Cricetulus griseus: one gene and its partner. The protein of the gene in region 1 interacts with the protein of each later gene in a pairwise test. Links are inferred from orthologs where the notes say so. Each region holds a gene or a part of one and is shown on either strand. Other genes may lie near its edges. The genes, in order: Lpxn and Hoxc9.

What was found.
Region 2: the proteins of Lpxn (region 1) and Hoxc9 interact in binary tests that used the Homo sapiens proteins (3 or more experiments, as listed by UniProt). The two-hybrid records come from large-scale screens. The link is inferred for Cricetulus griseus from reciprocal best matches to the Homo sapiens genes LPXN and HOXC9.

What each region holds. Positions count from the first base shown.
Region 1 is NC_048596.1:47,746,298-47,750,110, forward strand, and holds part of Lpxn (leupaxin), read right to left. Parts: intron 883-3,813; coding exon 736-882; exon of another isoform or gene 725-735; intron 1-724. UniProt on the Homo sapiens protein: Transcriptional coactivator for androgen receptor (AR) and serum response factor (SRF). Contributes to the regulation of cell adhesion, spreading and cell migration and acts as a negative regulator in integrin-mediated cell adhesion events.
Region 2 is NC_048595.1:399,355,098-399,359,539, reverse strand, and holds the start of Hoxc9 (homeobox protein Hox-C9), read right to left. Parts: upstream 2,829-4,442; 5' UTR 2,792-2,828; coding exon 2,254-2,791; intron 493-2,253; coding exon 248-492; 3' UTR 1-247. UniProt on the Homo sapiens protein: Sequence-specific transcription factor which is part of a developmental regulatory system that provides cells with specific positional identities on the anterior-posterior axis.

The DNA of each region.
Region 1 (3,813 bases):
GCTATATTAATGCAAACACTAATCATAAAACTTCAAAAGCAATTGAAACTATTACATGAAAGGAAATCAATGAGCTGTCGGGAAAATAAGCAAAAGCTCAGGTCTCTTGCAGGTAAACAAAGATGTGGTCATCCACAAAGATCAGCGCCAACACAGTGCCTTCTACTGCAAATGGGATGGGAAATCACAGGGAGAGTGAGAGCAGAAGACTGCCATGATCTGTCCTAAGTCAGGCATCTAGGAGGCTGCTTTGTGATAATCAAGTGCAGTTATCTGTGTGGGAAAACATGAGGAATCCTATGGCTGTAGTCTAAGAATTTCAACAATCACTCCCTGAATCTATTCAGCCGAAAATAAGACCAACAAAGGAACAGTTGTACAGTCACCCCAAAAAGACTAGTCTAAAAGATGAGGTTATCCCTGCTCTTACTGGGTATGACTCCAGTCACACTGTAACATGGCACTTCTGGTAGCCAGGGAGCACCATCACAGTAGCCAGCATGAACCAGGCAATATTCTGCCAGAAGAAGAGAGTTTCAAAGGCATACTCTATGGTCATGTCCTCAAGTCTCCTCTTTCCAAAATCAACTGTTTTTAATGTTGAAATGATACTTTTTTTCTGTCCTGAATATATGTTGCCTCCTTAATATAATTTTATATGGGAAACAATTTTCAGAAATACAGTCGAATGTTGTCTATAACACTGCAATAGATGAAATGTTACCTTCAAAGGACTTGTGTGACTCTGAGATGACAAGGTCTTTGGAGTTTTGGGAAGCTTGCTCTCCTGTTTGGATTGCTGACCCGGCTGACAAGAAACTGGGTTTGAATATTCATCACTGTCCTGGAGGGTGGAGCGTTCCAATTCCTCCAATAAGGCATCTATATCACAGGACACAAAAGGAGCTTAATATAGACTTTGTGAGTCTCCAGAGTTATTTTCTTCTTAAATATTCTCTTCTTGTTTTGGATAACAATTTTCAAATACCTCCCTCCATACCTCACACTTCAGGAGTGTGGCATGTCCTGGGATATGCCTGGGAAGATTATGGTCCATTTGATATTTCCTATGGTTGTATTCCATTATATTGGCTCTCTACAATCTGGTTTCCTATAATTTGGCTTCTAGGTATTGATTTTTAACCAGTTGGGTAGAACACACACACACACACACACACACACACACAGAAGAAAACACATGTACTTCATATTAGAAAAAATAAGGTTTTTCAAAATAGTCCAAGAAGCAAAATTCTTTTTTTTATTCTTTCATACAATTCATCCCACACAGCAGGGAGGCAAAACATTAATCCTGACTTTTTTAGTCTAATATCTGAAGGATTAGTGCAATAATATAACAAGAAAAAAACTGTCAAGTATTAATGTTTGTTGTTGTTGTTGTTGTTGTTGTTAGTCAGTTTGAATGTAGAAAGTAAAAGAAGTTGAAAAAAATATTGTACAATCAAGCAAGATGTAGCAATCCAAATAATTGGACCTCATTTGCTGTTTTCTTGGGAAAATGCCAATATACTTCACAAGCATTTTGCTAGTACCTTCTTGTTATAATGTCATTAATCATAATGATTAATGAAAATTATAAACCCATACCAATCACAGTGTATGAAGAGTGTTGTCCTTACACTTTTAGGTAGAGGACATCACTGTCCTCATTTCATATACAGGAGAAAGAGTGCAGCTCCAACAGGCTCTTGATCACAGCATCAGAGCTCCAAGGGGAGCTATCTGAGCCCCACCAACATGTAAGTTGGAATTGCCATCATCACCAGATTGTCTGAGTCATCTTAAGCACAGCATGTTCTCTTCATCTACATAATGAAGCAACTGGATGGAACAATATTTTTCAAATTGTAATTCAAGATAATTTTGTATCTTCTTTTGAACTTCAGTGAATTTTTAAAATATATGTTAGTTTTTATAAGCTTGCAAAGCATTAGATTGTGTGATTTCTAAGGACCCGCCTATCTCTGAAATTCTCAAATAAAGAAAATGAACTTATCACATCATTAAAAAACAAACATGTTCATGCATTTCATACTAGGAGAGGACAGGGTTTTGGTCTGTCTGTTTTTTAAATTAATTTTAATTTCAATTAAAAACAATCTTGAGGATGGGAATTAGAGGGAACTGGGATTGGTCTGTCCAGTTCTTAAGAGAGGCTGCCACAGAACAACTTGGCCTGAAATTTACCAAGTAAGCCAGGCTGGCCTAAAACTCATAATCTTCCTGCCTCCCCTTTTGAGGAATGTCTCACATGGGTGAGACATCATGGAGCAGCTCAAAACTGTCTTAGCCCCACTGTTTTTCCTCTTTACGATGCTGAACCCAGGAACTTATTATGTTACCAAAGTATGTTAATGCGCCACTAAGCCACATGCCCCAGATTAAGGTTGAGTATTTCTCAATATTATAAGGAAGATCTAATCGCTTGTTTTTACAAAAGAAATCTTCTGTAGAACTTTCTCAATCATCCATATCACAAAGTTTTGACCTTAGTACACCATTTCAGAAATAACCGAACTGGACTAATCTCTTTAGGCCGGACTGTCCTTCAATAAATAAACTGACAAGAAAAAAAAAGAAAGAAAAATAAGGGCAAATATATAATAATAAGAGACATGTAACTAATTTTAATTTAGATTATAACTTTTTTTTTTTTTTTTTTGGTTTTTCGAGACAGGGTTTCTCTGTGTAGCTTTGGAGGCTGTCCTGGCACTCGCTCTGGAGACCAGGCTGGCCTCGAACTCACAGAGATCCGCCTGCCTCTGCCTCCCGAGTTCTGGGATTAAAGGCGTGAGCCACCAACACCCTGCAACTTAGGTCATAACTTTAATTAAAAAATAAAGCAGTCAAGATAGTATTTCTGTGAGATTTTCCTGAACTTACCATCAAAAACTTAAAGGCAAGTACAAAAATACATCTTGGGCAAATCAGAATTCAGTGTTTAGCATGAGTTTTATATGCATAAGAAGACAGGTGACAAAATAATAAATTAATAAAATATTTTAAAGAATATTTAACACTATATAGTCAATAATATTAAATACTAGCATTTTAGAAATTTGAAAATATTAACATTAAAGTGACTTCAGTTAATTTTAGCTGTGATAATGTCATCTCTTGACATTGAGGAGCCACCATTAAGGTTGTTAGCTATTCTGGGTATGACAGTGTTAGTGTGGTTGTCTTTATAAACATTACATACTTATATATTAAGGCTGCAATATTTTACAGATAAGAAATGTAATGTCTAAAGACTCAGTTTGTTGACTGGCACAGAGTCCACTGAGCAGGCACCCAGGCACACCTTGGTACACACAAGCACATACAAAGACAGGCACACAGGCTACCAATAGGCAGACACAGGCCTACGAAGGAAGACTGCAAAGGCAAAAGGCAAAGGGGAAAGTGCAGGCCCCAAACTTAAGGCTTTAATTATATAAAATCTCACAAAAGTGACATAGTTATTGCTTTGCTCCATGTAGCTTCTGGGATTGATCTATCTGGGGTGTTAAAGAATGAAGAAAGGACAAACACTAGGACACACAGGCACAGAAAAACTGAGATAAAGCTAGACTGGGCTCTCTGATGGAGAAGCCACAACACCCTGGAAGATTGGCATCTTTATTTTAAAAAGAAAGAAATTTAATATCTTAAGTTTCTTGAAAACAATATAAAGGAAGGTTATCAGGAGCTGATGATTGTGGCTTAGGTTCTGTTAAAATGTTTTCTATACTTTTGTATATTTTTAAATTCTCTACAATGAAAGGGGTTTTCTTTAGAGCAAAAAAAAAA
Region 2 (4,442 bases), on another chromosome or scaffold:
GCGGTTTCTCCTGCCTCCTCCTTGCTGGATAGAACTAACTCTAAACACCAATTTCTCAACACTTAACCCTCCCACATCGCAAGAGTTTGCATTTTCCCCTTCCTTGTTTTTCTTTTTAAGACGATGGGCTTTTCTCTATCTTGCTCTTTCCTTTTCTTTTCGTGCTTTCTCCCGCCTGGGTTGGGGCATTTTTGTGGGGTTTTTGTGTTTCCCTGGGCTGTGCCGAGGCAGCAGGCTGGGGCAGGGCTTAGGATTGCTCCTTGTCGGTTTTCTCTTTATTCATCTTTTTCATCTTCATCCTCCGATTCTGAAACCAGATTTTGACCTGCCGCTCAGTGAGATTGAGAACACGGGCCACCTCGTATCGTCGGTCCCTGGTTAAATACATATTGAAGAGAAACTCCTTCTCCAGTTCCAGCGTCTGGTACTTGGTGTAGGGGCAGCGCTTCTTCCTTGTGGAACGGGCGTGGATCCAGTTGGCCACGGGGTTGCCTAGAGGGCCAAACATAGGCAAGGGTCAGTGGAGTTCCCTTCCAGCTCAGGACCTCTGTCATTCCACCCCCATGCTTAGCCAAGCTCCCCAAACTCAATGACTGAACCTGAATTTGGACACGTTTTGCTTTAGGCATGTTCCTCCTTTCTCTTTTTCATATTCCCCCTCCCCATGTCCCCTCCTTGTTCAGTTTCCAACACCTAAAACTGTAGTAAATTTGAAGCTACCAAAGCCCCCACAGTCTGGTCCTCAGCTTCAAGAGTAGTAATTCGAGAATATCCTCATAAAAAGTCCAAATTCCCAACTGTTTCATAGGCCCATAAACGCTTCTCTCTCTCTTGTTTTTTATTTTTATAGCAAGGTCCCTCTCCTCCCCATTTCCCTCCTCCTCTGCCCCCTCCCAGCCTCACAGCCCACGACCAAGTCCTGAGATTTCATAGTTTTTTTTTTTTTTCCTGACCCTGAGAGTCCCTAAACCCTCACTTCTTTCCAGTGTTCTCCGGCTCAGAATTCAACCCTGCTGAGGCGAATTATCAGGGTTAAACCTTCCCCTCTCCTCAGAGAGCTGCTGGCCTTGGAGAAAGACTCCCCCATATCTTAGCCTCTCTGTTGGTCACCACTGTGTTGTGCTCCCCCCCCGCCCCCCCCATAACCCCACTCCAGTCAGCTCTAGGACAGGCTCTGCAGGAGACAAGCCTCCAATTTCAGGTTTATGGGAGTAGCTGAGGGCAGAGAGGGAAGCCTTCAGAGGGGTATAATTAGGCCCTGGCCCCTTATGGAGCTAGAGGAAAAGATTTCCTGAAGTCTCCTCCTGGGGATCCCTAGACACTTCCTCACCCCCAGGGGGGCTGCACCTCTCCCCTGCTGTTTCCCCTTCTTTCCCCTCTCTCTTTGACCTGGCAGCTTACACCTGCCCCCCACCACTTCACCTACCCTAGCCAGCCTCTCCCCCTTCTATGAAACACTCAGAGTGCTCGACTCCCTGACTTGGACTGTCTCTCTCTCTCTCTCTCTCTCTCTCTCTCTTCTCTCTCTCTCTCTCTCTCGTGTGTGTGTGTGTGTGTGTGTGTGTGTGTGTGTGTGTGTGTGTAATTCTTTAATCTGAAGAGCCTTCCCCATTCCATATTCCTGATCCCCATTCACAACTCTATCCTGTGGACACTTAAAAGTGGCTTTTCAAGTTTAAGGAGTCTCGGACCTTACTTCTCTCCCACTTACGTCTGGAAGTCCTGGCCTAAGTTCCTAGGCTGCGTACCCCCAGATCCTTCTCCCAAGGGAAAACTCAGTGGATCTTCTGTTTTATAAACCCTAGTGGGATGAAGACCCCCACACTGGCTGAGAGGTAGGGATAATTTCTCTCCTTTTGCTCCAAGCATCCTGCCCTGTCCCTTCTCAAACCACAAAGTGAACCTCAGCCCAGCCCCTGTTCCTGTTTGCATTTTATTTTTTGAAAGTGACCACTGAGCCAAAAAAGCCTGAGCTAAGAGGGCGACACAGGGGTCTTCCTTCAAAACTAGCCTCTGGCAGAGAAGTCCCTGTGGCCGGCCCTCTCCCAACCTGGCTGCTTGGGCCCCCTTCTCAGACCTTCCTGCCCCTGAGAGCTCCCCAAGGTAATTTGCTTTTATTGAGTCCTCGCCCCCTCGCCCTCGCCCCTCTCCCGCGCTGCCTGCACCGCTTGGACGGGCTGTAATCTGGCTGCCCCCGCCTGGCCTCCCCTCCCCTCCTGTGCCGGTTGTAAATGAAAATTGCTCCCAACTTACTAGGGTCCAGGTCGGCCTTCTCCTCTTTGTGCTTGCTGCCGGCCAGCGCGTCCGCCTCGGGCGAGGGCAGCGTCTGCGGGGCGCGGTCGCGCAGCTCCCCGGGCGAGCCGTACATGTAGTCCGGGTAGCTGCGGCCGTCGCCTGGGCCGCAGTCGGCGCGGCGCCCGGGGTAGGCGTCGGGCTTGAGGGCATAGTGACGGCCCCCGGCCGGAAAGCTGGGGAAGGAGACGGCGCCGGACAGCGGCTCGAGCCAAGTCCGCATGTAGCGCGTGTCGGCGCCGAGGTGGGGCTGGGGGCCGTACGGGTGATAGACCACGGACGACTGCGAGGGCACGGGCGCCCACGACGTGCTGAACACGGCCGGCTTGGGCGCGAAGCTACAGGACGGAAAATCGCTACAGTCCGGCACCAAGCCGCTGGGTCTGGCGGCGGCAGGGTGAGCCCCGGTGGCCGGAAACCTGGACGCTAGGAGGTCTTCATTGTCGTGAGAGATGAGCGAGTCCACGTAATAGTTACTGATGGGCCCCGTCGCCGACATCGTAACAGGGTTTTACATACATAAGATTATTGTATGAACTGTATATGTACTTTTTATCTGCTCACAGAACAATCAAGGCAGGTAATTATTTTTCCAGCCTTTTCCCGGCAGCTCATTGGTTCCCCAGCCCCCACGTGATCGTATTTACCCAAAAATACGGCGCGGATCAATGCGCAGGGGCTTTTTTTCCCCTTGCTTTTTTCCCCCCTTTACCACCCCCTTCTCTCTGCTGATCCCCGCGACCTGCGTTTTCCTGACGATCTGCAACTCTGGACCCAAGGCGCTGGACACCCCACTCCGGATGACTCATATCTCATCAGGGAACCCCCCCCCCTTGACCATGTGCAGCCAAAAGCAGATGGCTCCCCCTACCATGAGGATTAAAAAAAAAAAAAGGTGAAAATGCCAGTCCCAGAAGCCAGGGTTCCTGGACCCCCAGGGCTGAGCTGGGCTCGGGGAGCCCCACAGGGGCGGGGAGGCCGGACGAGGTAGGTGGAGGAACTATTTCTTGACGTAATCTATCTCTGTCTGCCCCGATGCTCCTGCAGTCTCTGAGTGAGCGGAGATCTGCGATTGTCAGTTCGGAACGTGGCTTTTAAAAATGCGTTTTTAAATACGGTGTATGTATGTATTTCTTTCAGGAACAGCAGCACCAGCAACAGCGAGGGAGGGAGGGTGGGAGGGGACTGAACAAACTGGGATGGAGGGAGGGAAGGAGGGAAAGGGGAGAGTTCTTCTGCCACTGGCCAGCTTAGATCCCCAAATCTAGGGTATGGAAGCTTGGGAAAGGTGGTCTGTGGGCTGGGGGAAGTAGAACTTGCTGATCTTCCACACCTTTATCATCAGCTTCACAAGTCTCCTCTTGCTTTGGCACAGATATATAAGCCTTTATTCAAATTTATTGTCTCTGTTTCTTTGCCAGCTTGAAGAAGTGAAGGAGAGAACTACACAACTTAAGTGGGGCATCCCCATCCCATCTGCCTGCTCGCCTTCCTTTACCCCCAGGTCCATCTCTGTAACACTTCCACTCCCCCCCAAAAAGAGAAGTAACTCGGAGGTTCTGCAGAAAGCCAGGGTGAGAACAGGCAAAGCGAGAGAGCGACCTGGGTCGTGGGCAAGTAGCTTGTTTTTACGTCCTTCAATAAAATTTTTATGAGGATCATTTGATTGTTCATAAATGTGTCTTTCATTAAATAAAATTGTAGGCTGTTTTTGGAACAGAAAAAGGCAACGGAGGGATGGGAGAAGGCAATTTCTTTGGGGTCGGATGGAAGAATTCAGGAGGTGGCTGTATGATTGAAAGGAATTATCAGGCAACTTGGATCCCTCCCTCCTCAGAAGTTGACTGCTATCCTCCCCCTTGAATTTGGGGTTTGTTGCATGCACAGACTAGGCTTTCAGCAGACCTCCCATGGTGGTTTAGCAAATGGAAGGCTTTGGGGAGGCTGAAATATCCTCATTATGGGTATAGGAGAGGGGGCCAAGAGGTTGGTTGTGGGGATGGAGGGACAGGTGCTACCCCTAGAGACATAGTGCACCCATGCAGAATAGAAGGCATCTGAAGATCAGGGAGCAGTCTCAGGTTCAGAGTCTATGCGAAGGGAAATAAGACAGGAGCTGAGGCTAGAATGCAAGCTCTGAAGGAAGCAGG